Sus scrofa: one gene and its partners. The protein of the gene in region 5 binds, or shares a complex with, the protein of the main gene of each other region. Links are inferred from orthologs where the notes say so. Each region holds a gene or a part of one and is shown on either strand. Other genes may lie near its edges.

Region 1 (4,235 bases), on a different chromosome or scaffold from region 5:
CCCCCCTACAAGGCAGCTCTGTGGCACAACTGATAGTACATTGGATTTTTAATGGATAAGCAATGAGGTCCTACTGTATTGCACAGGGAAATATATCTGGTCTCTAGGGATAGACCATGATGGAAGATATGAAAAGGAATGTGTGTGTGTGTGTGTGTGTGTGTGTATATATGTATATATATTTATATATATGTGTATATATATATATATGACTGGGTCACTTTGCTATACAGCAGAAATTTGGCACAACACTCTAAATCAACTATCCTTTGTTTTTTTAAAAAGGAAAAAATATAAAAAGACTTTATAAATTAGAAACAAATGAGCCCTACAAATGCATCCTAAATTTGACTAAAAATTCTAACAATTTAAGAACAGATAACATACTTTGAAATCCACAGTTCTAAAAGAATGGATTTACAAAGACTAAATTTTTTTTTTTTTTTTTTTAGGGCTGCCATAGGAAGTTCTCATGCTAGGGATCAAATCGGAGCTATAGCCACTGGCCTACACCACAGACACAGCAACTCGGGATCTGATCGAGTCTGGGACCTACCCCACAGCTCATGGCAACACTAGATCCTTAATCCACTGAGCGAGGCCAGGGATAGAACCCGCATCCTCATGGACCCTAGTTGGGTTCGTTAACTGCTGAAGGCTCTAAAATTTCTTAAAAGTATATTTTTATTTTTCTCTATAGCTGAGTATTTTATATCTATCATTTAACAATTTTAAAATGTAAAATAATCACAGTCTCTCATAGCAAGGTTTTCTTTAGCTCCAAGAATATCCCTCGTTATTATGATCTACTTTTTAAACATTGTGTGATTATGATCTACTTTTGCTTGTACTTATTGATTAAATTGCCACTGATCAAGGCATGCATTCTTAAAATCTGTTAAATCTGAAGATAACTCACCTGCCTAGGATTTTTTTTCATAACAACCATACAACTCTTGGTCAGCTGTGGACAAGGTCATAATATACCCTTGTATTTACAGTACAAATAATCGAACCTATTTCAGATCCACAAAGAGGAAAATGTGGAAAAATATGATAAATTAGTTAAGCTGAAAATTTTAATAACTTTAGAGCAAACACTGTAGTCAAATTTTGCAAAGAAGTTATTATGTTAAGAATTTTGTACACAAGCCTCTTAAGAGTTATGCTATGTCTATATTTCAGAGATCAAACTTATAATCATGCAGTTGAAAATCAAGTTAATATGTAAATGAACTTTGAAAGCAAGCACAAGACATGAATTTACTAAATTTTGCAAAAGTACAAGTTGAGTTCTATAAATGGAATTTAAATTAAAACATTTTATAGTATAAATCAGGGGTAGGCAGACTACCAGCCAGCTGCCTGTTTTTGTATAGCAAGTGAGCTAAAAATGGTTTTTTCACATTTTTAAATGGCTGAGAAAAAATATCAAAGAATAATATTTTGCGACACTGAAAATCATAGGAAATTCAAATTTTAGCATCCATAAATAAAGTTTTATTGGAACACTGCCAAGTCCATTCAATTACCATCATCTATGGCTGCTACATGCATCTATGGCCTGCAAGGTCTCAAATATTTACTATCTGGCCCTTTACAGAAAACCCCTGATACTTTACATCATCAGATTTTAGTGCCTGTTAAGCTTTAGAATCAGAAATGTAAAAGTCAATTTTTTTTTCACATTATGTTTTTCTCTGTACATCCTAAATCATGGAGGCTTAAATTGGAGGGACAGGCTAGTAATCAGCGTGGAAAATGAAACTATGGGAACAGACTTCTCTCTGCCTCCTTAAAAAAAAAAAAAAAAAAAAAAAAAAAATCCCTAAACCAAGCAAAAGGAAAAGATTTCTATTTCCCAGCACAGTTCAGTGATAAAAAGCGCACGGGTTTGGTTCACAGTATGTTGTCTATCATCATGATTTAAGAGGGGGAAACTGCAGGAAACTGCGTTGTCACTTGTCATGTTGAATGTAGCATCATGGTATTCTGTTACTTGATTTAGGGCAAGAGTTATATATAGGGAAGGAGAAGAAAGCAGGGAGAGGGTGAGTTTTGTTGGAGACGATGCTAGTGTGGCAGCTGCCACTCTGAATTGGATAGCGTTTAAAATAGTTCATTAAAACAAAAACAAAAACTTTTCATGCTTTCTGCCAGAAAACGGACTTGTGGTGGAACATACTTGTTCTGGTAGAAAAGAAAAAAAGGAAAAGATATTTTACTGGGGTTGGGGGTGGGGTGGGACGGGGAGATTGCCTGGGCTGTTTTCACTCCATCCTGGACATAATATGCCAGGGCGGATGCCGCAGAGGAAAAGCAAAGTCGGCCTTCTCAGCCTTCTCGGAGGGCGCGGGACTGGACGCGGAATGCGAAGGCGGGTTTTGTTCTTGTATTTTTTGAGGAAGGCTGGCGCCACGTCGGCCGCCCCTCTTGCAATTCGCCCGCGAGGCTACAGCACCATCAGCCGAAGACCGCCTGGGTATTTGGCCCCGAATATCTGGTCCTAGCCCCAGCCCCAGGCCCAGCCCCTCCTCCAAGGAGCCTCCCGCACTGCGGTGAACTCTCTGAAGACGAAACCGCCATCTTTGGTCTGGGCAAAATCTGGCCGCTCCACGCGCTGCGCTGAGCCTCGGCCACTCACCCGGACCCTCGCTATACTCCGGCCCGGTCCGGTTGGAGTCGCTGAACACGGTCCGGCTGAAGTTTCCCAGCCGCTGGCGGACCGGATCCGGCAGCTCCATGCTCAGGCCTCAGTACTGCTCCCACCTGGGTCTTCGGGCACCGTGGCGCTTTGAGGTTCCCACAGCAACCGGGCCGCGCGAGGCTGGGGGCTGGGGCGCACGCGCGGCCCCGCTGCGGGCTGAGGCGCCAGGCAGCCCTGGAAGATAGAGGAGTGCAGGGAGCCAGTTCCTGCCCAGCGCCTCAGCATGATGCCAAACCGCAGATTCCTAAGTCCTGCTTTAACGGCCACCATTTTAAAAAAGGAATAAAAATAATAATTAGTGACTAGAGTTGGATTGTGATACAAGGAGCTCTAAGACCTTGCCAGTGGGATACAATCTTTCTGGGAGAAAATATAGAATGAATGCTGAGTTAACAGACTGTTCATGACCCAGTAGCTTGTGTGTGTGTGTGTGTGTGTGTGTGTGTGTGTGTGTGTGTGTGATATTATTACATCCTAGGAATATTTTTTAATATATGCATGCCGTATGTATACAGACACATATGTATGTATACACATACATACTCTCTTATAGGAATACGTTATATATTAGGAATATTATATATATATACATAGCATATATATACGATACACATATATATTGGGTGAAATACATTGAAGCAGTTTAAAAGCATGTTTGCAATGAATATTTAATGATGGGTTAACTTTAAATTAAAAAAAACCAGAAGTAAAACTAAGTAGGAATGAACCTAATTTAGTAAAATGTGTGTGTGTAAATATATGGGGAGCAGAGAGGGGGAGAAGATGGCACAAGCACTGTGGCTTCAAAAGAAGACTAGAAGAAAATAATCCAAAATGTTAGTAGTAATGTCTAGATAGTGATTGTGGGTGATTTAAAAAATTTAAAATAGGAATTCCTGTTGTGGCTCGGGGGTTTAAGAACCCAACATAGTCTCTGTGAGGATGTGGGTTGGGACCCTGGCCTTGGTTGGTTAGAGATCCGGAGTTGCTGTGGCATAGGCCTGCAGCTGCAGCTCCAATTAGACCCCTAGCCAGGAAACTTCCATATGTCACAGGTGTTGCTATAAAAAGAAAAAAAAATTTAACCACTTAGTATTTTTCTAGCTTTCCCTCAAATAAGATGTATCGTTTCAGACAGACAGACAAACAAACAAACAGACAAACTGGTTAGGTACAATTATGTACAGAAAAGTGTACAAACTGAATATACAGGTGTAACAAGAACCCAGATCAAGAAATGTAACTTTGGAGTTTCAGTTGTGGCACAGTGGAAACAAATCCCACTAGGAACCACGAGGTTGCGGGTTCAATTCCTGGCCTTGCTTAGGATCTGGTGTTGCCTTGAGCTGTGGTGTTGGTTGCAGATGCGGCTTGGATCCTGTGTTGCTGTGGCATAGGCCTTCAGCTGTAGCTCGGATTGGACTCCTAGCCTGGGAGCCTCCATATGCCATGGGTGTGGCCCTAAAAAGCAAAGAAAAAGAAAAAAAAAAAAAGAAACTTAACTTTACCAGTACCCTCAGAAGCTCTC
Region 2 (4,139 bases), on a different chromosome or scaffold from region 5:
CGGTCTTGGTCACCTTGCTGAATTCTTCCCCCAAGGAAGATAAGAACCAAGGTCTCTCACTGCCGAACTCAAGCTCATTGTGTTACTCATAGGCCCTGGGTACCAGGGAACCAGGATGCCACAATGATGCTCCTGTGTTTGTTATTTCAATCTTATTGCCTATTTTTAGCACCGATGGGAGCTACTCCTTGCTGTCTATGACAGGAGTCAGCAAAATTTTACTTAAAGGGCCAGATTGTAAATATTTAAGCCTGTGAGCCATATAGTCCTAACAAGTGATGCAACGACTCAGCCTGAAAGCATGAAAGCCTATTACATGAAAGCAGATGTATTTCATGGATGTGGCTGTGTCCCCCCCAAAAAAACTGGAAGAAACAGGTCTTCAGATAGGTGTTTTGGGGAGAAGACTTTATGAACCCAATCCTGGCATCTCCTCATATCTAGAAAAGCGCTAAAATCCTTCATGGTGATGCCTGCTCCTCATGACTAGCGGGAAACTTCACCAAAGGAGAGTAACTTTCTGCTAAATTGTACCACCCCTTTCACCAAAATCACATATATACTGGCATTGCCCCCACTTTTTTGGAGCATTTTTTTTTCCAGAGCTATCTGAAATGCTGCCTCCCAGGCTATAGTCCTCACTTTGACGGCCCAAAAATTTAACTCACAATTCTCACATTGCGCATTTTTTAAAAGTCTACAAGTGTGACATCTTTTTCCTGTCCTACCCTTCCTGACAGTGGGCTAACCCCTATGTCACCCTGAGTCCATTCAAACCCCTTCTTCCTGTGATGGAACATGATGGAGGAAAATGTAAGAAAAAGAATGTATGTATATGTGTAACTGGGTCACTTTACTGTACAGCAGAAATTGACAGAACATTGTATCAACTACAATAAACAAAATTTTAAAAAAGCAAAAAACAACCCTTCTTCCTAGTCCCCTGCCCTGTGGGGTAACACATTTTTACTGCTCCAAATCATAACAAGTTTCAAAGCCCAGTTTACAGGCCATGTCTTGGAAACGTCTCCCAACCCCTACCGAGAGTACTTTGTCTTCTCAACTGCCACTGCACATTGGGGTCAAGTGCTGATTATATTTCATCTTTTGCTCTTATTTATGCTCCTTGAAAGGAGCCTCCAGTTCCGACTAACTTTGGTACCTTCTTCTTCTTCTTTTTATTTTTTTTATTTTGTTTGTCTTTTTAGTTTTTAGGGCCGCAGCCGTGGCACATGGATGTTCCCAGGCTGGGGGTCGAATTGAAGCTGTAGCTGCCAGTCTATGCCACAGCAACCTGGGATCCTGGCCACGTCTGCAACCTACACCACAGTTAACCACAGCGCTGGATCCTTAACCCACTGAGCAAGGCCAAGGATCCAACTTGCATCCTCATAGATACCAGTCAGGTTCCTTTCCGCTGAGCCACAAGGGAAACTCCAACTTTGGTATCTTCTAACTCCCTGGTACATAAATCAGATGCATAGAAAAACCCTACCCCCGCATCCCCTCCCCTCAGAAAAAGACTGTTTACACAAAGGATCCCCAAACTCCACGCCGCATTTGCAGCGCACTGTCGCGCACACTATTTCTCATTTTAAGACCCATGTTAGTAAAGAAACCATGGGACCAGGGCCTATTCACCAACTCTGATCACATTACCACTACTGGCTGCTTCGAACAATTCCTGGTAAATTTGGGATGGGGGCGGGGCGAAAACTGCCCCGCCCTCGGAGTCCTGCAGACGACATCATCTGCTTTCTTATCAGTCCTCTGCCAAAACCCCAGCGAAGTCGGTTCGCGGCCCGCGCTCCTCCCGGCGCAGGCGTGGCCGTCACAAGAGTGCCCCCGGCCCCAGGTAACCATCGAGTGCAGCAGGCGGATAGAAGGGCCCGAATCCAGGGCCGCTCCGTCCCTCGCTTCCGGCAACGCCTCGCTGCTCCAGGAGTGCTGTAGCCGCGTATGCAGTTTCCATGGGGACTGAAGATGGCGCCGCGAGGTGAGGTTCTGGAGGTGTGTGAGTTGCTGGTCCTGATCCCTTCAGTTTCCCCCCCCACCCCGCCCTCCTCTCCCAGCGTCGACCTGAACCCTCCATTCTCCTCACTTGTCCACAGCAGGGTTTAGCAGCCTCACCTACCCTGAGTGCCAGAAGGTCTCGAGATGTGGGTCTCAAATACCCCCAAATCCTTGGCTCAGCCTGTTCTAGGCCGGCTCAATAGGAATTTGCAGCGTGGCTTCACACTGGCCAGTGCTGTCTCTGGGTCCCAGTTTTCCTTCCTAAATAGCGACGAGGTTAGATCCCTGACTTTCACCCCCAAAGCCGAAGCGGTAGAGTTTGATGGCGATTCTGGAAAGGAGGAGATTGAAGGAAACACACACACACACTCACTCCTCATCAGCAAACAGAAGTGCCCCCAGGGACCCTTTCTGTCAGCTGAAACCCCTCCACACTCCGTACGCACACGCGCGTGCACACACACACACACACACACCACACAGACACCTTCTCATCAACAATCAGAAGTGCCGCCAGTGGCCCTTTCCACCAGCTGCGGCCTCCTGTTTCCTCCAAGTTAGACACAGAACCATTCAAATAACTGGGGTTGAGCTGCCTGCCCTCCAGCCCGTCTCTTTTCTCTGTGCTCCTATTTTCAGGTAAACGGTTATCTTCCACCCCCCTGGAAATCCTCTTCTTTCTGAACGGGTGGTATTATGCTACCTATTTCCTGCTGGAACTCTTCATATTTCTGTATAAAGGTAAGGTCTGGGGTTTAACTACCCTTTCCCCAACATCCCTTCCCCACTTCAGCCCAGAGCCAGCTCCCACCCAAAGCCTTATTTTTTCATTCTTTTCTGCTCCCCTGCAGCTCTTCTTCACTGCAAGGTCTCTTCATCAGATGGCTTCCTTGAGAATGATTCAGTAGGAAGCCACTCAGCAAGAATTTCTTGAGTTTGGGAAATGGGGGCTTCTCCCTTCTGACTCTCCCCTGTCACCTCTCTTTGCTGAACTCCACTTTAAGCCCATTGGTGACCCTCAGAAGCTATTCAGCGCCGTATATCCGTGTACATCTGATCTGATAACTGGAGAGTGGCGTCCCCACAGAATCTTTTTTTTTTTTAAGGTTTTATTGAAGTATAGTGATTGCAACTATAAATTGATTTGCAATGTTGCGATAATTTCTGCTGTACAACAGAGTGATTCATTTACACATATCCACATCTCCATTCCTTTCCAGATTCTTTTCCCATGTAGGTTATCACAGAATACTGAGTAGAGTTCCCTGTGCTATAAATAGCAGGTCCCCACTGACCACCCATCCATTCCATATGCAGTAGAGCCCCACAGACTCTTGGAGTTAGGAGTAAAAGCCCATAATTACGAGCCTGCCTCTAACAGACATAGCCGCACCATGAGTTAACGGATCCTGCCCGTATCTCAGTAAGTAGCTCATGGGAAGAGAACATGATAAGACTCATGTTCTCTTTATTCCCAAGTGAGTGGGAGACCTTGTGTGTGCTGTTCGACGTTGTTTGCAAACTCTGGCTTTTGTATCGCAGGTCTCCTGCTACCATATCCAACAGCCAATCTGGTCCTGGATGTGGTGATGCTCTTCCTTTATCTTGGCATTGAAGCAATTCGACTGTTTTTTGGTGAGTGTTGTCCAGAGGCTATTTCCATTCCTTGCGAGATGAGCTGGTATCTGTAACTTGATGAACAAAGAAAAGCACTTAACCTTGGCTCACAATGAGAGAGTGGATCTGGTGGCATATCCCGTTACACCCTCTCTGAAGTTTCAGGCGGCTTCATACTTGGGGTCAAGACTTACCTGTCTATTGCTCTGTTGCGCCACAGGTGGGTGGCGGCATGAGATATTAGATCATTCCTTCCCGATTATCTAACTACAGGAGTGCCTGGTTCCTCTCACTGGTTTCTTGGGAGAAGAGATTTCGTTGTAACTCCATGTCCAGGGCAGTAGATCAGCAATAAGGTCCCCTCCGGTTCTCTGAAAAAGGATTTCTCTAGGACAAGTTTACATCCCCGGAGGTACAGAGCAATCCCTCATGAGTTACCTCATCCCTGAAAACGGTGTTAAAACATACACTGAGGGAAAAAAATAACTTCAACAAAAAGAGGTTCACAT
Region 3 (3,510 bases), about 37 Mb from region 5:
CTGCGCCACAGCCACAGCAGCGCCTGATGTGAGCCGCACCTGCGACCTACACCATAGCTCGTGGTGATGCCGGATCCTTAACCCATGGAGCGAGACCGGGGACTGAACCTGCGTCCTCATGGATGCTGGTCAAATTCATTTCCACTGAGCCACAATGGGAACTCTGTGAATGCCCTTTCGATGGAGCATCAAAAGGACTGTGCTCAGGGGTTTGAGCGGGGCCCAGGGTGGAGCGGCAGAATAGGCACCGTGGATCCGTGGCAGAGGAAGAGTTAAGTACAACAACCCTGAGGCAAGAGCTGCTGTGTGGCCTGAAGAAGGGCAAAAAGGCCAGTCTGGCTAGAGAGGAGCCAAGGGCACAATGATGGGACAAGTGGCTAGAGAGCTGGGAAACTGTAAGAGAGGGCATCTCGTAGGGAGGTTGTGAGGATTAAATAAGATGATAGATTTAAACCTCTTAACTCAGGGCTGGCATGTGTTATATGCTTGACAAAGGGAGGCTGGTATTCTTCTTCAAATGTTTTGCATGCACTGGAAAAGACTTCCTGGAATACACCGCACGCACACGTGTGTGTGTGTGTGTGTGTGTGTGTGTTTGCGCACACACAACCAAAAAGTATAGACAATTCAGTTCTTAGATAAAGACAAAATCAGATTTTCCCTCCGTCTCCTTTCAGATATAAATTCAGGGGTAAGTATCTACATTTTTTTAAAAAAATGTGGCACATGGAAGCTGCTGGGCCGGGAGTGAATCCAAGTGGCAGCTGCAACCTACACTACAGCTGTGGCAATGCCAGCTCCTTGAAGCCACTGTGCCCGGCCAGGCACTGAATCTGGGCCTCTGCTGTGACCGGAGCCGCTGCCGTTGGATTCTTGACCCACTGCCCCGCATCAGGAACTCCCTGTCTCCATGTTTGGAAAGGATGTGTGGCAAGAATTCCTCGGCAATCCTTTGCTGTGCCACCCACAGAGAGATGCCATTTCCCAGCTTTCCTTTCTTCCTCGTCCGAGACCTTGAGAAACACTGACATACAGAAATGAGAGATGGGCGGCGAGGAGCCTCCTTACGTTGTATCGCACGTCTAGGCCGCGGTAGCTTAGAGGCTGCCTCTGCTGCAGCCTCAGGTCTCCGTTCACATATAACTGGGACCCCGGAACCGCGAAGGAGGCCTGGAGAAACGCCATGCTCTGCATCATAAAGGTCGACATCCTCTGAAATCATGAGAAGAGAAGATCCCTTCTGGTCAGATCCAAAGGGCTCTAGGCTCTGCGTGTCACTGTCTGTCCTGGCTGTCCCTGGCTGTCCCTCCTGTCCCCAGCTTAGCCACGGAGGAAGCACTCGGCCTCGAGCCCTCTGAGCTGTGCATCGTGCATGGAAATTAATATGACCTCAATGAAAACCATTCAAATGTAACTCAAGCAGTTAAAATCCGAACACCGCCTCCGAAAAAGAGCCTTCTGCAGGGTGGGTGTTCCTGGAAGACAGAAGGGGGGAGGGTTCTGTTCCTTTGAAAGACAGAAGGGAGAGGACGAGCTTCTCCAAGGAAGTGACTCACGTGTAGTTGGTAGGAGAAGGTCAAGATGAGCTGCACACCAAGGACATGCTCCGTGGACCGCAGGGGAAGCTCCAGTTTAAAATGTAACACGTCCATCTTCCCATCCTGGTTCCTGTCTTCTTCTCTAGTCTAGGAAATGCAAAAAAGGCCGGGACCCTGGTCCTTAATAAGGCTGGGAGGACCCCATCTCACTGATGGGCACACGCAGTGATGCAGTTCTGCCACACACAGGCACTGTCTCCCTCAAGAAAGAGAAGACAAACATAAATCCAGACACACGGAAACATAAATCGGTACCGAGGAAAGAGACACGTGTGCATGGCCCCTGAGCTGCATGCTGGCACTTCTCAGATAACTCTGGGACCAACTTACAGGGAACCGGATGTGGCAGTAGAACAATGAAAACATCTGGATGCATTTTTCTTTTCCTTCCATTTGTTTCGTTTTGTTTCTTTTCAGGGCTGCACCAGCAGCATATGGAGGGTCCCAGGCTAGGGGTCTAATTGGAGCTGCAGCTGCCAGCCTATGCCAGAGCCACAGCAAAGCTGGATCCTTAACCTACGGAGCAAGGCAAGGAATTGAAACTGCGCCCTCATAGATACCAGTTGGGTTCGTTACCACTGAGCAATGACGGGAACTCCCTCTTTTTCTTTTTACTTTAAAATTTTTTTTTTAAATTTTTTTTTAAAATTTTTTAAAATTTTTTTTAAATTTTTTTAAAATTTTTTTAAATTTTTTAATTTTAAATTTTTAATTTTTTAATTTTAAATTTTTTAAAAATTTTTTAAAAATTTTTTTTAAAAATGCCGCACTCACTGCATATGGGGATTCCCAGACTAGGGGTTGAATTAGAGCTGTAGCTGCTGGCTTACACCGGAGCCCCAGCAACACAAGATCTGAGCCAGGTTCGTTAACTGCTGAGCCATGATGGGAACTCCCCTCTTTTTTTTTTTTTTTTTTTTTTTTTGTCTTTTGTTGTTGTTGTTGCTATTTCTTCTCTTTTCTTTTTTAATGACAGTTGCAATGTTTCTTTCTTTCTTTCTTTCTTTTTTTTTTAATCTTTTTGCTATTTCTTTGGGCCGCTCCTGCAGCATATAGAGGTTCCCAGGCTAGGAGTCTAATCAGAGCTGTAGCCGCTGGCCTACGCCAGAGCCACAGCAACGCAGGATCCGAGCCGCGTCTGTGACCTACACCACAGCTCACAGCAACCCCGGATCCTTAACCCACCGAGCAAGGCCAGGGATCAAACCCGCAACCTCATGGTTCCTAGTTGGATTCGTTAACCACTGTGCCACGACGGGAATTCTTGCAATGTTTATTTCAAGTTCTCTCTTGTTTTTGTTTTTCTTTTTTGCTGCATAGGCAGCATGTGGAAGTTCCTGGCCCAGGGATTGAACCTGCACCACACAGCAGTGACCAGAGCCACAGTGGTGAGAACGGAGGAGCCTTAACCTGCTAGGCCATCAGAGAACTCCCTGGATGCATTTTTTGTTTTTTGTTGTCTCATTTGATCTTTTTTGCTTGTTTGTTTGGCTGGTGGTGTTTTCCTGGGAAACAGGCCTGAGTTTATATGGAACATTTCAACAGCACATCAGAACTGATTTCTATTTCTCTAGAAGTCAACTTTTTAATTTTTTTTTTTTGTCTTTTTGCCTTTTCTAGGGCCGCTCCTGTGGCATATGGAGGTTCCCAGGCTACGGGTCTAATCAGAGCAGCAGCCACCGGCCTACGCCAGAGCCACAGCAACGCAGGATCTGAGCAGCGTCTGCAACCTACACCACAGCTCACGGCAATGCCGGATCCTTAACCCACTGAGCAAGGCCAGGGACCGAACCTGCAACCTCATGGTTCCTAGTCGGATTCGTTAACCACTGCGCCACGACGGGAACTCCTAGAAGTCAACTTTTTAAAACAGAAGAAACATCCTAATCATAATGCATTCCTCAAACAGACT
Region 4 (4,245 bases), on a different chromosome or scaffold from region 5:
AGACACACACACACACACACACACACACACACACACACACACACACACACACACGAAAGCCTATTTGTGGCCTGTCAAACATTCCACATCTGCTTTAATTGTTATAGAAACAGGCACAGGAACCAGAAGAAAAGAATACCCATTGTTAAAAATAATGTGCCCTCTTCCTGGGGTGCCAGTGCTGGCACTCCCTGGATGATAAGACTCCCTTCCCAGGTGCCAAGGACATACTAACTCACTGCGTAGGTGCTGGCCTGTTCTTTTTTTTTTTTTTTCAATCTTGAAGAATTGCAGCCCCGACTTGTTTAATATTCTTTGTTCTGACAGGATATAATACAGTGCTGGAAATCATGCATCTTCTGAGCAGTTTCTAAGAGTGATATGGGAAGCAGATTCAGGGCTACTCAGTAGTTTGGCTCAAATGAAATTTTCTTCAATTCTTATTTTAGATCCTTTATTGATTATTATCATTGGCAACGGGAAGAAGAGCGATGATCCGGTAAGAGGGTAGGGAGGTCCCTGTGAGGTTGTGCATATGAGAAATGAACTCCGGCCAGAACTTTCCGTTCTGCCTGGAACCCTTTTGAGGCCCAAAGGTCAGGGAGGTCGCTGATAGTGAGAGATGCTTGGATAGTAGCTGGGCAAAGTCAAGTGCCCACGCCTCAAAGAGATAAGGAAATCCTTGCAGAGTCTGCATCGACACCCTCGCTCCTGGCCTCCCGGGGACGCAAGGTCTCATTCCCTGCCTCCACCCCCATCCCCAGCCCTTTCTGGTCCTCTTTGTTCCCTCTCTTCCCCAAACACACTTCTTGGGGCACACCCTAGTCCAAGAGAGCGGGCCACTTTCCGCGATGTGCAAATCCCTCACCAGTCTGAGCAAAGGTGTCTGGGGCGTGAGGGAGGGGGAACTAGAATCAACGAAGGTGCAGGTATGGGGTCCTCCAACGACCAGGGGCTCTGGGACAACAAGTGGCAGCCGGACAACATAGGCACATCCACCTCTCCACGTTCGGCCCAGGGCACGTGGGAGCTAAAGGAATGCGGAGGAGGGAAGGAGAGAGAGCATCCAGGCCTCAGGCACAGACAGCCGTGTCCGGAGGTTCATCCGGGACAACGCAGCAGGGGTTGGGGGTCGGGCTGCACCCGGCGTGGGCATCCGGAGAAGGGGGGGGTCCCAGGCTAGGCCCGGAGGGTTTCCGTTCGCCGGCGCTGCGCGGGCAGACTGGACGATGCAGGGCAGCGCCACCGCACACTCGGTGCTGACCGCTCGGCTGCTAGTGACCAGGCAACGGATAATCGGCCTCCCGCCGGAATCAAGTACGACGCAACCTGACTTGCAGTCCCGCGACGGCACGCAGCTGCTTGACAGTTTAATGCTCTCGCGAGATTTTCAGAGATCCGGTCGCAGCACCAGCTACCGCAGTTACCAAGGCAACTGGGCGGTGCCAGCGCGAGCGGGAAGGAGGCGAACGTCGAATTTTTGTCTGCTAGCCTAGGAGACTTGAGGACTGGCCCTCCCCGAGTTTCCAGCCCTAGAAACCCCGGCCTCTGCTCCAGGCAGTACCCCGTCCCCTGGGGGCCATGAGCCGGGTCTCGGGGCTCGTGCCCTCTCGCTTCCTGACGCTCCTGGCGCATCTGGTGGTCGTCATCACCTTATTCTGGTCCAGGGTAAGACCCACGGCCCCGCTCCGTTAGTCCACGCTCCCACCTTGGAGTGGTCCTGGCCCCACTCTACGCCTCTCCCCGGGGGCTTACCCGGTCGGGTGCTCCCCCCCCCGCCCCCACCCCGCCACCGCCGCCCCTCTCTCAACTTCTTTCTTTCTGCCCTGCTCCTCAGGACAGCAACATCCAGGCCTGCCTGCCTCTCACGTTCACCCCTGAGGAGTATGAGAAGCAGGATATTCAGTGAGCACCTGGGGCAGGGTGGTCAGAATTAAGCAGTCGTGGAAGTGAAGGGGTCTTAGAAAAAGTTCAAGAGGCCTAAGCCCACACCCTTCCTTTCTGCAGGCTGGTGGCAGCGCTTTCTGTCACCCTGGGCCTCTTTGCAGTGGAGCTGGTCGGTTTCTTCTCAGGAGTTTCCATGTTCAACAGCACCCAGAGCCTCATCTGTATCCTTTCTTCCGTGCACCTTTCCTGCACCGGCCATTTTCATCACAGCTCCTCTCCGCCACCTAACTAGGCCTTTCTGGTACATTGGTGTTTGTTCTAGTAGGCAAACAGAGTCCCTCCAGTTGAGAAATCTTCTTAGGCACTGTGGGAGATTTAATACAATCTTTGGGCATCTGTTAAGCTCCTGCTATACATCAGTCACTGGAGATCTCAAAATGGGAGTAAAACACAATTTTCTACCTTGAGGAAGAGTTAGACACAGACAGACATCTGTAATTCCGTGTGATAAGCACTGTGCCACGGGATGTGTAAAGATATGAAGCTTGTGGGGACACAGACGAGACAGAGGACGTGAGGGAGATGGATTAGGGAAGGCTTTGGTACTTGAATTGTGGTCAGGGAGGACCAGGGTGCTGGAAAGTGATTCCAGCAGAGAGTAAAAGGTCACAGAGTGCTTGGAACAGATGGGGAGGCTACTACCTCACCTGAACGGTCCAGGCTAGATATGGGGTGGGGGTTGCTTAAGGTCCCAGCTGTGCAGACTCAGCTCCTCTACTCACATGGCTGCCCTAAAACTCAGGATTCAGGGCTGCTGGCTCTGGCCTTTGCAGTGTGGTAAGAGGAGCAAGAGGTGCCCCGCTTCCTAGGATGTAAACCTGAATGTAGATGCCAGCCCCCAAACCGGCCTTTTCTGACCCATTACTACCTATTGATCCAAAGGATTTCCTTGACTCTAGTGTGTTCCAAGCCATTGGGGCTCACTGTAGTGCATCTGTGGCCCTGTCCTTTTTCATATTTGAGCGTTGGGAATGCACCACGTACTGGTACATTTTTGTCTTCTGCAGGTACGGTAGCACCCAATGTTTGGGCATGGGAAAGCAACATTAACTCTAAATCTGAAGATTTCCCTCACCCAGCTCTTTACTCCATGTATAAAATATCAGATCCACTCAACATCCTTTTTTGAAGTCCCCTCCCTCCTACATTTGGGGGTGGTATCTCTGGCTTGGGGATTTGGATTTTTTTATTGGATGAAGGGGACCCCGAAACCACCACCTATCTTCCGCAGTGCCCTCCCAGCCGTCACTGAAATAGCGTTATTCATCAGCGTCTTTGGGCTGAAAAAGAAACCTTTCTGATACCTTCATGACCGGAAGTACGGATGAAGGCTGGAAGAGCGAGGGATCGCTCACCGTTCCTGGAAGAAGGAAGTCAGAGGCTCCAGCTCTTCCTCCAAAACTGCGTCATGGAGGGTATCAGTGTAATAGTAATTATCTCTCGAGTCTGAAATTATGTGTGCTTTGCTTATAGTTCTTTGTAATAAATATATTTTTAGAATATGATCGACTTATAAAAATTTCAGATGAAAATTGGGGTGGCCAAAGTGATGGCTGTTTTCTAGGCCTGCGGACTGTAAAATAGTATATTCGCTTTTATTTTGGTTATTACGGTAGAAGTCTGGCGGGAGGGTGGGCGGGGATATGTAAATAAGGCGGTACTTACGGGTGGGACACCCGGCTGGTAAGTGAGTGGAGCATTCTGGGAGGAATTAGCTTATCCATTTTTGATAGCCAAATGGAAAAACTTATTTTAAAACATTTGGAAATAAATGTACCAAAATATACAGAAGAACCCAAGTAGGCTTAGTTGCTCGGACCAACGCAGTGTTTACTCATCCTATCTTTGAGAGGAATCTTTTTCCCAGAGTGCGGAATGTCACGCTAAACGTTCTTATCGTCAGGTAGGATAATCCTTACCTGTTCCTCCTTCGGGAGGGCAGAATGGAAAATGATGATTGGAGCTCGCATGATTCGTGATTAACGGCTCTGCGTAATCAGGACTTGCAACACCCTGATTGCTCCTATCTGATTCTTCCTGACGATCAGCGCTTTTTATCAGAGTCTTCACGGTTAGAAAGCTGTTGTTGTAGGGAAGACGTTGTACTTCCTATTTCTTGCTAGTACTTTCTTTTCAATTGTGGCTCTTGTCGCGGATGTTAGTGTAGTGCTAACTCCTCAAATCCCTTCTGCCGCGGAGCAGGCTTCCTTTTTAGTCTCAATGGCTGCAGTTTCCACCGGAAGGTTGGTCCAGGTTCTGAATCCACTCAGTAGTCTGCAGGGAACTCCCTGCTGCTGC
Region 5 (4,198 bases):
CAACCTCATGGTTCCTAGTCGGATTCGTTAACCACCGAGCCATGATGGGAACTCCTGTTGTTCTATTTTTAATGGCCATACCTGCAGCACATGGAAGTTCCCAGGCCAGGGACTGAATCCGAGCCTCAGCTGTGACCTACACCATGGCTGTGCCTTGGATTCTTGCATACACTCTGCTAAGATGGGGATGGAAGCAGTGCCTCCGCAGCAACCCTAGCTGCTGCAGTCTGTTCTTTTATTTGTTGTTTTTACTTTTTAGGGCCACACCCACGGCATATGGAGGTTCCCAGACTAGGGTCCAATCGGAGCTACAGCTGCCAGCCTACACCACAGCCACACCAACCTGGGATCCAACCGTGTCTGTGACCTACACCACAACTCACGGCAGCGCTGGATCCTTAACCCACTGGGTGAGGCCAGGGATTGAACCCGCAACCTCATGGTTACTAGTCAGATTCGTTTCTGCTGTGCCACAGGGGGAACTCCTGCAGCCTGATTCTCAACCCGCTACACCACAGCAGGAACTCTCAGAGCCCACTTCTTATCTACTCAGCTGGAAGGACCCCAATTTCCCAGGGAATCTGAACCACCCTGCCCACCAGTGAAATTACAAAGGACCCCAAGCCTGAAAGGATGATGATGGCAGTGGCCACACTCATTTCGTGGGCATTTATTTGTGCTAGGCAACATACCTAGGACTTTACAAACAAGCCCCCATCCAGTTTTCACAAAGGCCAGGCAAACACTTACTGAGCACTTGCAAGAAAGGCCCTCTTCTAAGTGCTGTGGATGTTTATTTAGTTCTCACAACAAGCCCATGAGGTAAACAGTGTTATTATTTCCATTGTACAGAAGGGAAGCCGAGGTCTAGACAAGTGCCCAAGGCCACGTAATTAATAAGCAAGCCCCAGTTTTGAACCCAGGCATTCTGTGCTTTTACTTTTTTATTTTTTGTCTTTTTTTTTTTTTTAGGGCCGCACCCGCAGCATGTGGAGGTTCCCAGGCTAGGAGTTGAATCAGAGCTGATCCCGGCATTCTGTGCTTTTAACCTCAGCACTCTGCTACCTCTTAGATGTTATTAGCTTCATTTTCAGACAAGGAAACTGAAGGTCAGAAAGGTCAAGTCCAAAGGTTCCCAATTAATAGGTAAGGGAGTTTCTACTTGAGCCCAGACTCGGTGGCCTATGGCCCTAACCACCACACCATCCCATCACACTATCTCCGATGAAGGGCATGAAAACTGGGGCCTCCATGGTCCCTCTTGGGCCTGCGCGGATGAACCTGGATGACAGCCACAACGAGGTTCCTACATTCTCAGAGAAAAATGAATACGGTAGGGTGGCCTCTCCTCGCAATTCCGAGATGGAAACTTCTATTTTACATCAAGAATAAATAGGAGTTCCCGTCGTGGCACAGTGGTTAACGAATCCGACTAGGAACCACGAGGTTGCGGGTTCGGTCCCTGCCCTTGCTCAGAGGGTTAAGGATCTGGCGTTGCCGTGAGCTGTGGTGTAGGTTGCAGACGCGGCTCGGATCCCGTGTTGCTGTGGCTCTGGCGTAGGCCGGTGGCTATAGCTCCGACTGGACCCCTAGCCTGGGAACCTCCATATGCCGAGGGAGCGGCCCAAGAAATAGCAAAAAAAGACAAAAAATAAAAAATAAAATTAAAAAATAAAATAAAATAAAATAAAAAGAATAAATAGAGACTGTTAAGGAAAGAATTAAGACGGAGGAGCCACCGAGGATACCGCTAAGACAATGAATAAAGTCCAAACAGTGTCCTTAGGGCTATCAAGTGTTTTGAGGGTTGGGGATGGGTATGTGTCTAGCCCAGTGTCCCCTCTCCTTAGGGGCTGTGAGAGAGCGGGAGCCATGGTCCTCAGAGATGGGATGGGAAGGGATAAGAAAGAAGCCTGAGATTCGCATGAACAGAGGTGGTCAGGGTTTGAGTTCTGAAAGCCGATGCAAGCTGAGGATCAGGGACTGAGGGTGAAGGGTCTAGGCTGAGGGGTTCTGGTGGGGAAATGAGCCATGTCGGGGAATACCTGTGTGGACGCCCCACTTGCAGAAGAGGCTACTTTCCGAGAAACCGGTGGCCCCCATGATCTGCCCAATCACGTGCACCTCAGCCATGGCCCTGAGAGGGGAAAAATATAATCACAGCTTGGTGAGAAAAGTGTACTATTATCTCCACCTAATAGATGGGAAAACTGAGGCCCACTAAGTAAGGAGCAGTACTTGGGATCCCAAGTGAGTTTTGTCAAACTACTGAGGCCGCTTAACCATAATACCAAATGCCTCTCCAGGAAAGTCCTCGAAAAAAGAGAGGTGAAAAATGGACGAGCTGAGGAGCTGGCACCTAACTCTGCCTTCAAAATAACCTCTTCCTCTAGCTCAGTGTAGCGGAAAGTCCGGCCCAAGGGGCCCATGGCTCCGCCCACAAGCACAAAAACCCCGCCTCCGCCCCTCGGATTCCCCCACCCCTCCCCAGGTTCATCAGGCGCATGCGTTTTAAGTGCAAGGCGACCTTAGCCCCGCCTCTGAGCCAGCGCATGCGTTTTTCCTACCTCAGAGCCCCTAACGGTTAAGAGGCGTGAAAGCGCCGGCGAGGATTGGAGTTCGTAGCCTGACCTGTCTCTCTTTCCGCGGGTGCTGACTCCCCAGGCCTGGCTCGCGCCTCCCCCTTCCGTACAGCGAGAGATCTGAGGCACTAATCCCTCTTAGGACTCGCCCGCCTCCGGGTTCCCTGGTTGTTGCTGGGACAACAGCAGCCTCCTCCCCTGGCCTTGCACCCGCCCTGCAGGTCGCTAATTGGCCTTAGGAGTCTGTGGGGCGGGACTAATACGTGATGGACATTTTCTCCCCTCCCTCTCCATTTTGGGAAAGCCGTCTCTTCCAACTTCTAGCCAAGGTTCCGCCATTTGCGGCGTGGCGGTGCTGTTGCCATCTTGGGTGTGGCTGAGGACGTTTGAGCGCTGTTTTCTCCCAGATATTCTCTTTCTTTTTTTGGCCATGCCGGTAGCAAGCGGGAGTTCCCGGGCCAGGGGTCGCTCTACAGTAGCGACCCAGGCCTCTGCAGTAACAACGCCGGATCCTTAACCTGTTCCTCACCGAAACTCCATACCCAGATACTCTCTTAACAGAATATGCAAATCCAGTGAGAGTTCCCTGGTGGTGCAGCGGGTTAAGGATCCATCCTTTGTTGTCACCGATGTGGCAGGCGTTTGGTCCCTGGCTGGGAACTTCTGCTTGCTACGGGAGCGCAAAAAAGAAAAAAAAAAAAAAAAAAAAAAGAAGAAGAAGCAAATCCTTAAGTTCTCCTTGTCCCCTAAATCTCTCTCCCAACTGGAACCACAAGTCAGAGACTTGAGCCAGAGCCAAGGGGGAATTTCCCTCAGATCATTGTGTATAACCTCCTGCCTTATAATTGGAGAAAAAAAAAAAATTCAGAGAAGTTGGGGAGGGGGTTTCCCTTCCTTTTGAAAGTTCTCCTAAGTTCTTCAAGGACTTATAAATCCAACTCCCTTCTCAGAAATACTGCCCAGTTCTTCACTGACTGGTGAAGTTAGTGATTCTGAGCAAGGAGGTGGGTGTGGGGCTCCAAGGACGGGTATGAGAAATGAGGAACTGAGGCCGTTTATCTGCAGAAAATCCGGTTCTGACCTCAGTCAGTAGCTTGTGACCTTGCATGGCCCCATTTCTCAGTCATCCCATCCATGTAACAGGCGCCAGGGGAGTGACTGAGAGGGATTCACACCTACTGATTTCCTGAGTAGTGCCTTCCCCACCCACTAAGTCCAGTTGAACCTTAGTCCTGTGCCTTATTCCTTCAGCCCAGGCAGGAAGTCCAAAAGGAACTTATTCCCCTACTTTTTAGCAAAACAGCTACTGCAAAAGGTAGAGTCACCAGGAGTTCCCATCATGGCTCAGCGGAAACAAATCTGATTAGTATCCATGAGAACGTGGATTCAATCCCTGGCCTTGCTCAGTGGGTTGAGGATCCGGTGCTGCCGTGAGCTGTGGTATGAGTCACAGATGCTGCTTGGATCCCAAGTTGGTGTGGCTGTGGCGTAGGCCGGGGGCTACAGCTCCAATTTGAACCCTAGCCTGGGAACTTCCATATGCTGTGGGTGTGGCCCTAAAAAGACACACACAAAAAAGTCAGAGTCACTAGCTCAAAGTTATTAAGGAAGGGGCA
Region 6 (3,510 bases), on a different chromosome or scaffold from region 5:
GTGGTGGATCTCATCCAGTTGTGGTTGTTAAGAGCCTGCTGTCCCCACTGATCTGTGAGCTTCATGAAGAGAGGAATCATCCCATACTTAGATTTTTATCCTTTGTTTGATCAGTAACGCTCCAACTAGGACAGTGCCTCAGTTTAAATGTATTCCATACATGAAAAATGTGTTTTTAATCAGAACTGTCAATACCAGAAATAGAAAAAATTAATTACGGTAAGCAAATTATAGTTGAAAATACCTTTACTTATAAAGAAGTTATGTGATCTAGAAAACAAAACATGCTTTTGGAAGCCATGAGAAAGAGTCTGCGCAAGATTCCTGTGTGAGGGGAAGGCAGTGTGTCTCCTTTCATATCCCCATTTCAGAGAAACACAGAAGAAGGAACGGTGAATCAATATGTGTATAAAAATCCTGTGAACTTAGTGATTCCATGCTATTTGATGAGCTTCCGGTGATTCCAAATGATGTTGTAGCCTTATCACTTGCGAAAATTACATATTCTTGTGCTTACAGCATGTTTGTTTCTTAAAGCATCAGAGTTTGTTTCATAACAGGCTTAATGTAGATACTTTTCCGTGTTTTGTTTGTCATTCTCAGGCTCTGCAGTTTTTGCATAAGCTCTTCTCCCAGATCACCATAGACATATTCTTCATCGATTGGGAGCGACCTAAAGGGAAGATTCTTAAAGCCGTTGAAGGTAATGGAAGTAGCCATTTGTACCAGAATTCTTTTGCTACCCCTGTAGTGCAAAGAAGGTGAAACCCTTTTTACTCATTCTATCTCCTCAACTAGGTGAGGGTGGTGTTCGGAGTGCTACTGTTCCCGTGAGCATATGGAGAACATATTTTGTAGCAAATGAATGGAATGAAATTCAGACTGTGAGAAAAATTAACCCACTCTTTCAAGTACTTACCGTCCTCTTCCTTTTGGAGGTATAAACTGTTTGATGTAATTGTGTGCAACTTCTGGGTACCTTATAAATGTTAATTTAATATAATTCCAGCTAAGTTTTCATGCCAGTGGAAGAGTTTTCTAAAAGTTAAACTATTTTGTCAAGTCATTAAAAAGTGCACATAACATGAAATTTACCATCTTAATTAATCATCTTTAAGTATACAGTTCAATACTGTTAAGTACATTCCTACTGTTGTGCAGTCTCCAGAACTCTTTTCATTTTGCCAAACAAAAACTCTACCTATTAAACAACTCCCTCTTCTCCCCTGTCCCCAGCCCCTGGCAACTGCCATTCTGCTTTCCGTCTTTTTGAATTTGACTACGCTAGGTAAGGAGTGGCTTTTAAACCATTGGTTTGTAGCAGACCCCCCTGGAGAGCTTTTGCAGAATACCTATGCCTCACCTCACCCTCAGAGATATGTTCGATTTAGTAGCTCTGTCGTGAGCCCAGGTATCTGTATTTCAAGAACTGCCCCCCACCATGATTCATATTTTCACTCCTGTATTAGAACCACTATTAAAAGGTTTTCTAATAAAGTTATCGTCGAACACTGACTATGGACTGTGTTTTGTGTGAAGAGCTGAGGCTACAGCTTAGTGAGACACAGTGAATGGGTACATGCTTCTGAGCCCTTTACAGTTATTCCATGGGTCTGAGTAGAATTTCTAAAGGAAGTAATCAGTATTGAATATCAGAGTGAAATAAGGAAACTGTTTGTATGGGTAACAGGTTTTCTCAAGAATTAGCTGCTTACGTTAGATGTGAATTATTAACTCATAAATCTATCTGTCTGCCTTCCTTTTTCCTTCCTATCCTCTTTCCTCCTCCTTTTCCTTTTTTTAAAACTAAAAGAACGTGTGTGTCCTTAGGACATATGAACACTATCTCAAAAATTCATTTATAGTAGTGTTTTTAAAGCTTTAAAAGGTGTTATGTGAGAAAGAAGTTTTATAGTCTAGTAAGTTTGGAAAACACTGGATTCAGTAAAGTCCTGTACATTCCTTTACCATAAAACCTCCCAGAGTCTTTAGGGTAGAAGGCATGGAGGTGAGTGAATATAATACACAGACCAGACTTTCTTTTATTGAAGATGGTATCTTCCTCAAAAGATGCTTTGGAAAATATAGTTTTACAGTATAAAAATATTTTGCATAGTGCCTGGCATATGCTAAAAATTCATGAAATGCTGGTTGTTCATAGGTAGTTTACTGAAGAAAGCTTTACTCTTTTGACAGAAATTTTTGAGCTTTGTCGGTGTATATGATAATAAGGTTATATTTGGTCTTTAGCCTTGTTGAAGAGAATACTAAATGAACTAGCTAAATATTTTCTATCACATACTTTGTAATTAAAATACAGGATAATTATTTTCATCTAGATTTTCAACTGATTATACGAACTTTGAATACTTAAGTTTTTCAGCTAAAGGAAAGGGAGGAATAAGGAGTAGGGAGTTGAGAGGATTGTTTCATTTTCAGACCAGAGGAGTTTTCTTTATCCATGTCTGTTTAAATTATTAGTTTTTTTTTTTTTTTTTATTTCAGGTTGTGGGATTCAAGAACTTAGCATTAATGGACTCATCCTCTAGTCTTTCCAGAAGCCCACCTAGCTACATAGCTCCTTACAGCCGCATTTTGAGATATGCAGTGTCTACTGTTCTTTGGCTAGTCATTGGAATTATACAGGTAACAAGAGAGTATACTTTTGAGCAATATTGCCTCTATGTATTTTTAATTCTGTTTACATACTAATCCTCAAATATTGACTACAACATGACTTCTGTAGCATTAAGAAGATGACAAGAACAACAACAATTATGGCTAATAGCTAGTTCTTACATGGTGTGATAATCTAAACACTGTGTTAATTAATTGCATTACACAGATTGACCTAATCTTTGCAGTAGCCCTCAGAGATAGATTCTTTGAGTATCCTCATTTTACAGATGAGGATGCTGAGGCAAAGAAAGGTTAAATATTTGCCTAAAACCATGCAAGTAGAAATTGGTGGAACTGGAATTTGAACGTAGGCAATCTGATTTCAGAGTTCATTTTTATCAGTAGTGGGGCTCGGAAGAGTCTTTCAGAGTCTGCAGCTTTCTAGTCACAGGATTAATTTATAAATGATAGGAATTTCTAAGGTACCCTTAGTCTTTTCTTTGGAAATATAACTTATTGTCTAGCATTTATTTACATATCATTAAACCTCACTCACATTACCAGTACTCCTCCTGAAATCTTCTTTGAAATATTTATTGGAATAGCTGAAACTAAAAATAAATCTTCTCAGATCGTATGACTCTAGTAGAGAATCTTTTCTATGCTTACTTCTGTTATCTTCTTAAAGCTTTAAAAAAAGAAAAAAAAAAGAGAAGGGAATGAAAAGAAGAAAAGAAAGAAGCAGCAGCTATAGCACTTAACTTGAATTTCTGCACTTCTTTCTCTTGTTTACAGATACATCCATGAGTGGGTGGAAAGAGCCCTTCTGTTTGGTTAAAATTTCTTTAACTTTTTAATAAGCAAGGGAAGATGAGACCTCTAGGAAGAGCA
Region 7 (4,126 bases), on a different chromosome or scaffold from region 5:
TTTAATTATTTTGACAAAAATGTCAAAAGTATACCCAACATTCTTGGGCTGGAATACTTCTATAAATAATGCAGTTTAGAACCAAGGGGCTTCCCCTAGTCTGGTCTTCCCATTTTGTAGAGTTACAGTAGATTTGCTTTGTTTTTTTCCTTTTAAGACATAAATCATTACATGCAATTTTTTTTTTTTTTGGTCTTTTTGCTATTTCCTGGGCCGCTCCCGTGGCATATGGAGGTTCCCAGGCTAGGGGTCTAATCGGAGCTGTAGCCACCGGCCTACGCCAGAGCCACAGCAACACGGGATCCGAGCCGCATCTGCAACCTACACCACAACTCACAGTAACGCCGGATCCTTAACCCACTGAGCAAGGGCAGGGACTGAACCCGCAACCTCATGGTTCCTAGTCGGATTTATTAACCACTGCGCCACGACGGGAACTCCCATTACATGCAATTTTTGTCGATTTTTTTTTGTCTGTAAAAAAGTCAAGTGCTCACCTGCCCCCCTTATCACAACATGGTGAAGAGAAGTTATCTGGCCATCTCCTGGAACACAGCCCTTAGAGGTAGGTGATATCCTTGTCATACAGATGAGAAAACCATGGCTCAGAGAGCCTAAGTGGGTTAAGACCAAAATGGCAAAGCAAGTGTGGACAGGTGTGAAATAGAGAAAATTCAAGGATGGTGATGTGATCTCTGTGCTTCAAAATACCCTATTTAGTAGCTTTAGGACAGCAGTTCCCCAAATTTCTGTCCCTCCACTGGTAGCACTGGAACATTTGTTAAAAATATTGCTCTCTGGGGAGATCCCCTTGTGACTCAGCAGGTTACCAACCCCATGAATATCCATGAAGATGCGGGTTCCATCCCTGGCCTTGCTCAGTGGGTTAAGGATCCAGTGTTGCTGTGGTTGTGGTGTAGGCCAGCAGCTGCGGTTCCAATTCGACTCCTAGCGGGGGAACTTCTACATGCCCCCGGTGCTGCCATAAAAAGCAAAAAAAAAAAAAAAAAATTGACCTCTGGACTATGCTCTGGGCTTATTGAGTCAGAATCCTCTGAGCTGGAACCTGGACATCCGCATTTTTTTAAACAAGCACTGCAGTCCGCTTGGAAACTTCATCGGTTATTCACAAGCCCTAGGTCTCCACCGACTTCACGAAGAACGGTGGTCCCCATCCCTCATCCCCGCCCCTCGATCCAGCCCCTTGAGGCTGGTCTAGCCCCGCCCCGCCCACTGTCCTCTCGGCCCGCCCTGCCCAGGCCCCGCCCTCCACCTTCGCTGTCTCTTGCGGCTTTGCGCGACCCTTCCCGTGATGCCTCGCGTCCGGCAGCCACGGTTGCTAAGCAACGCGAGGTTGTCAGCCTTGGCTTTGCGTGGTTCAGCTGGGCGATGGGGCCACGGGGCCTCCCGCCGCTCCTGCTAGTGTTCCTGGGTTGCTGGGCATCTGTGAACGCCCAGGCCGGGGCCACCCCTGTGGTGACTACGGAGGGCTTCAACTCTACGGAGCCGGCCCCGACGACTCTCCTACCCACCTTATCACCTAGGCCCCCTGAGACTCCCAGGGGCCCCAGGCCCTCCTCCGGCCCCAGGCCTACCCCGGTCACGGACGGTGGGTACCAAGTGCCAATTCCGGGGGACCTGCATTGTTCCAACCTGGAGAGGGTAGCCTGGGTGAGGTTGTGATAATAATGATAGTTAACATTTATTGAACACTTACTGTATGTAGGCATTGCTAAGTGTTTCGTAGGCATTAATTTAACAACCCCTAGGTAGATGTTATTATCACTGTTAGGCAAATGAGAAAACTGAGACTCAGAGAAAAATCTTTGAAAGTATTTGCAGTGGTCCTGGATAACATTAACTCTAAAGGTAATAATGAATGTAGTTTTCTAGAAGAACATGAAATTAAATTGGAATTTTCTAGACAATTGTGGAAATTAAGCGCATAGGATATGTTGAACTTTTTGCTTATCAAAAAGAGGGGGAGGGGTAGTTCCCATTGTGGCTCAGCGGTTAAGAACCTGACTAGTATCCATCAGGTTGATCCCTGGCCTCGCTCAGTGGGTTAAGTTTCCTGCATTCTGCACAAGCTGCTGCCTAGGTCAGTATGCAACTTGGATCTGGCTTTGCTGTGGGGTAGTCCGGCAGCTGCTGCTCCAGTTTTACCCCTAGCCTGGGAACTTCATATGCTGCAGCTGTGGCCCTAAAAAAGAAAAAAAAGAAAGGGGTATGGGAAATGTCTCTTTTACTGAAAGTGACTAGGTTAAGGCCTGTGTCTGTTGACTTAAATTGTGAAAAACCAGGATTCCTCTTGTGTTGAGTTGGAGGTGAGAAGGTTATGCCCAGTTCTTAGGATTCATCTTTAGGGATAATTAAAATATTTCTCAGAAAGTGATCTAAACCTTGAGTTATACATTTAGCGACTAATCAGATTTGGCAGGGATGACTTCAGGGGATTTCTGTGACTCCCAGACTGAGTGCAGACTTTTTTGAACATGAATTTTTCCAGGGTGAGGGTTCATAGCAGTAGGTAGTCTCTCAAAGAAGTTTGTGATTGAAAAAAAAAAACAAAACACTGTAAATTTTCTGTAACTCAATAGCAATGCAGTATTTTTTATCCCTTCTTAAGAGAAAGAGATCTTTTCCTAAATTGAGTAAGACGATATTTTGTAAGGAGAAGAGTCATCATTGGTTGATGTCCTGAACTCTAGGACTTAACTTCAGTTACTGAACCATTTCTCCTTTATAAATTATGAGTGGTCTGTAAGAAAAAACACAGAGAGATATACCTGCTTTTCAATATAAACAAAGTGTTGTTTTTGAAAGCTGCTGATTTGGTGAATTAGTAGAGAAGTTAAGTGATACTGCACTACAGCAGACTACAGCAGAGTATTAAATACCCAAAATTCTCTGAGATTTTTTGGGCCGAGTTTCCTTTTAATGCACTTTCTCCCCGAAATGAAGCTATTCTTGACCCATCATTAATAGGGCATGAGTTCAGGGCGTTTTTCCGATGTGGGAAGTTGAATTTGCACTTTCCATCAGCTTTTTAATGGGCCTCTCTTTAGACCTATATAGGTAGTGATAATAAATGACAGCTGATATTTATTAACTGCTTACTGTGTAGCAGGCCTTATGCTAAGCATTTCATCTGTGATGTATCCTTTTTAATACTCATAACAGCTTTATGTTGCAGGGTTATACCCATTTTTCAGGTTGGTGAATTACTTGCCTGATTTTATTTATTTATTTATTTTTTATTTTTTTTTGTCTTTTGTCTTTTTGTTGTTGTTGTTGCTATTTCTTGGGCCGCTCCCGAGGCATATGGAGGTTCCCAGGCTAGGGGTTGAATCGGAGCTGTAGCCACCGGCCTATGCCAGAGCCACAGCAACGCGGGATCCGAGCCGCGTCTGCAGTCTACACCACAGCTCACGGCAACGCCGGACCGTTAACCCACTGAGCAAGGGCAGGGACCGAACCCGCAACCTCATGGTTCTAGTCGGATTCGTTAACCACTGTGCCACGATGGGAACTCCTACTTGCCTGATTTTAGGTCACACTCCTGATATGTGAAAACTGAGGAGAGAAACTGGGCAGCTGTTTGCAGAATGGGTTACAGGTGGAAGAGAAGGATGTTGACTTTCATCTTGGATCTGAGCTCTATTCATTAGTACCCTGCTCTAGGAGCCAAGCGTATAGACATGAAGAGGCTTGAAAGAGCAGCTGAGTGCTACTTAAACCCCACAAGTGCTCAACAGATGCTTGTTGGCTGATTAAGTACACTCACATCTTGAATAGAGACCCTTTTTCCCCCTAAGTAGTTATTAAACACTATTGCTTTGTCCCTAGTAGTCTTATAGCTACCTACCTACAAGGGTTTTAAGTTATGGAAAACAATTCAAGAGTAATTTTGAACACAAAAGGCAGGGTGCCTTAACACTCCTTATTTTTTTATTTTTTGGCAGCCCCACAGGATGTGGAGTTCCTGGGCTAGGAATCAGATCCCAGCCACAGTTACGACCTCCCCCAGAGCCAGGTCAACACCAGATCCTTTAACCCATGGTCTTGGGCTAGGGATTGAACCCACATCCTGGCACTGCAAAGACACCACTGATCTCTTTGCACC

The links.
Region 1: B9D2 (region 5) and TMEM17 share a complex: the UniProt entries of both Homo sapiens proteins name them as parts of the tectonic-like complex. The link is inferred for Sus scrofa from reciprocal best matches to the Homo sapiens genes B9D2 and TMEM17.
Region 2: B9D2 (region 5) and TMEM216 share a complex: the UniProt entries of both Homo sapiens proteins name them as parts of the tectonic-like complex. The link is inferred for Sus scrofa from reciprocal best matches to the Homo sapiens genes B9D2 and TMEM216.
Region 3: B9D2 (region 5) and TMEM231 share a complex: the UniProt entries of both Homo sapiens proteins name them as parts of the tectonic-like complex. The link is inferred for Sus scrofa from reciprocal best matches to the Homo sapiens genes B9D2 and TMEM231.
Region 4: B9D2 (region 5) and TMEM107 share a complex: the UniProt entries of both Homo sapiens proteins name them as parts of the tectonic-like complex. The link is inferred for Sus scrofa from reciprocal best matches to the Homo sapiens genes B9D2 and TMEM107.
Region 6: B9D2 (region 5) and TMEM67 share a complex: the UniProt entries of both Homo sapiens proteins name them as parts of the tectonic-like complex. The link is inferred for Sus scrofa from reciprocal best matches to the Homo sapiens genes B9D2 and TMEM67.
Region 7: B9D2 (region 5) and TCTN1 share a complex: the UniProt entries of both Homo sapiens proteins name them as parts of the tectonic-like complex. The link is inferred for Sus scrofa from reciprocal best matches to the Homo sapiens genes B9D2 and TCTN1.

Annotation. Positions count from the first base shown.
Region 1 is NC_010445.4:79,414,332-79,418,566, reverse strand, and holds the start of TMEM17 (transmembrane protein 17), read right to left. Parts: upstream 2,801-4,235; 5' UTR 2,745-2,800; coding exon 2,645-2,744; intron 1-2,644. UniProt on the Homo sapiens protein: Transmembrane component of the tectonic-like complex, a complex localized at the transition zone of primary cilia and acting as a barrier that prevents diffusion of transmembrane proteins between the cilia and plasma membranes.
Region 2 is NC_010444.4:10,119,458-10,123,596, reverse strand, and holds the start of TMEM216 (transmembrane protein 216), read left to right. Parts: upstream 1-1,336; 5' UTR 1,337-1,959; coding exon 1,960-1,996; exon of another isoform or gene 1,997-2,010; intron 2,011-2,652; coding exon 2,653-2,754; intron 2,755-3,330; exon of another isoform or gene 3,331-3,436; intron 3,437-3,555; coding exon 3,556-3,648; intron 3,649-4,139. UniProt on the Homo sapiens protein: Part of the tectonic-like complex which is required for tissue-specific ciliogenesis and may regulate ciliary membrane composition.
Region 3 is NC_010448.4:12,153,816-12,157,325, reverse strand, and holds part of TMEM231 (transmembrane protein 231), read right to left. Parts: intron 1,686-3,510; coding exon 1,557-1,685; intron 1,213-1,556; coding exon 1,069-1,212; intron 1-1,068. UniProt on the Homo sapiens protein: Transmembrane component of the tectonic-like complex, a complex localized at the transition zone of primary cilia and acting as a barrier that prevents diffusion of transmembrane proteins between the cilia and plasma membranes.
Region 4 is NC_010454.4:53,394,257-53,398,501, reverse strand, and holds TMEM107 (transmembrane protein 107), read left to right. Parts: upstream 1-1,437; 5' UTR 1,438-1,581; coding exon 1,582-1,668; intron 1,669-1,837; coding exon 1,838-1,905; intron 1,906-2,007; coding exon 2,008-2,108; intron 2,109-2,857; coding exon 2,858-2,954; intron 2,955-3,178; coding exon 3,179-3,248; 3' UTR 3,249-4,002; downstream 4,003-4,245. UniProt on the Homo sapiens protein: Plays a role in cilia formation and embryonic patterning. Requires for normal Sonic hedgehog (Shh) signaling in the neural tube and acts in combination with GLI2 and GLI3 to pattern ventral and intermediate neuronal cell types.
Region 5 is NC_010448.4:49,355,613-49,359,810, forward strand, and holds the start of B9D2 (B9 domain-containing protein 2), read right to left. Parts: upstream 2,809-4,198; 5' UTR 2,568-2,808; intron 2,138-2,567; 5' UTR 2,134-2,137; coding exon 2,046-2,133; intron 1-2,045. UniProt on the Homo sapiens protein: Component of the tectonic-like complex, a complex localized at the transition zone of primary cilia and acting as a barrier that prevents diffusion of transmembrane proteins between the cilia and plasma membranes.
Region 6 is NC_010446.5:42,893,078-42,896,587, reverse strand, and holds part of TMEM67 (meckelin), read left to right. Parts: intron 1-603; coding exon 604-703; intron 704-798; coding exon 799-938; intron 939-2,505; coding exon 2,506-2,646; intron 2,647-3,510. UniProt on the Homo sapiens protein: Required for ciliary structure and function. Part of the tectonic-like complex which is required for tissue-specific ciliogenesis and may regulate ciliary membrane composition.
Region 7 is NC_010456.5:31,974,996-31,979,121, forward strand, and holds the start of TCTN1 (tectonic-1), read left to right. Parts: upstream 1-1,322; 5' UTR 1,323-1,389; coding exon 1,390-1,609; intron 1,610-4,126. UniProt on the Homo sapiens protein: Component of the tectonic-like complex, a complex localized at the transition zone of primary cilia and acting as a barrier that prevents diffusion of transmembrane proteins between the cilia and plasma membranes.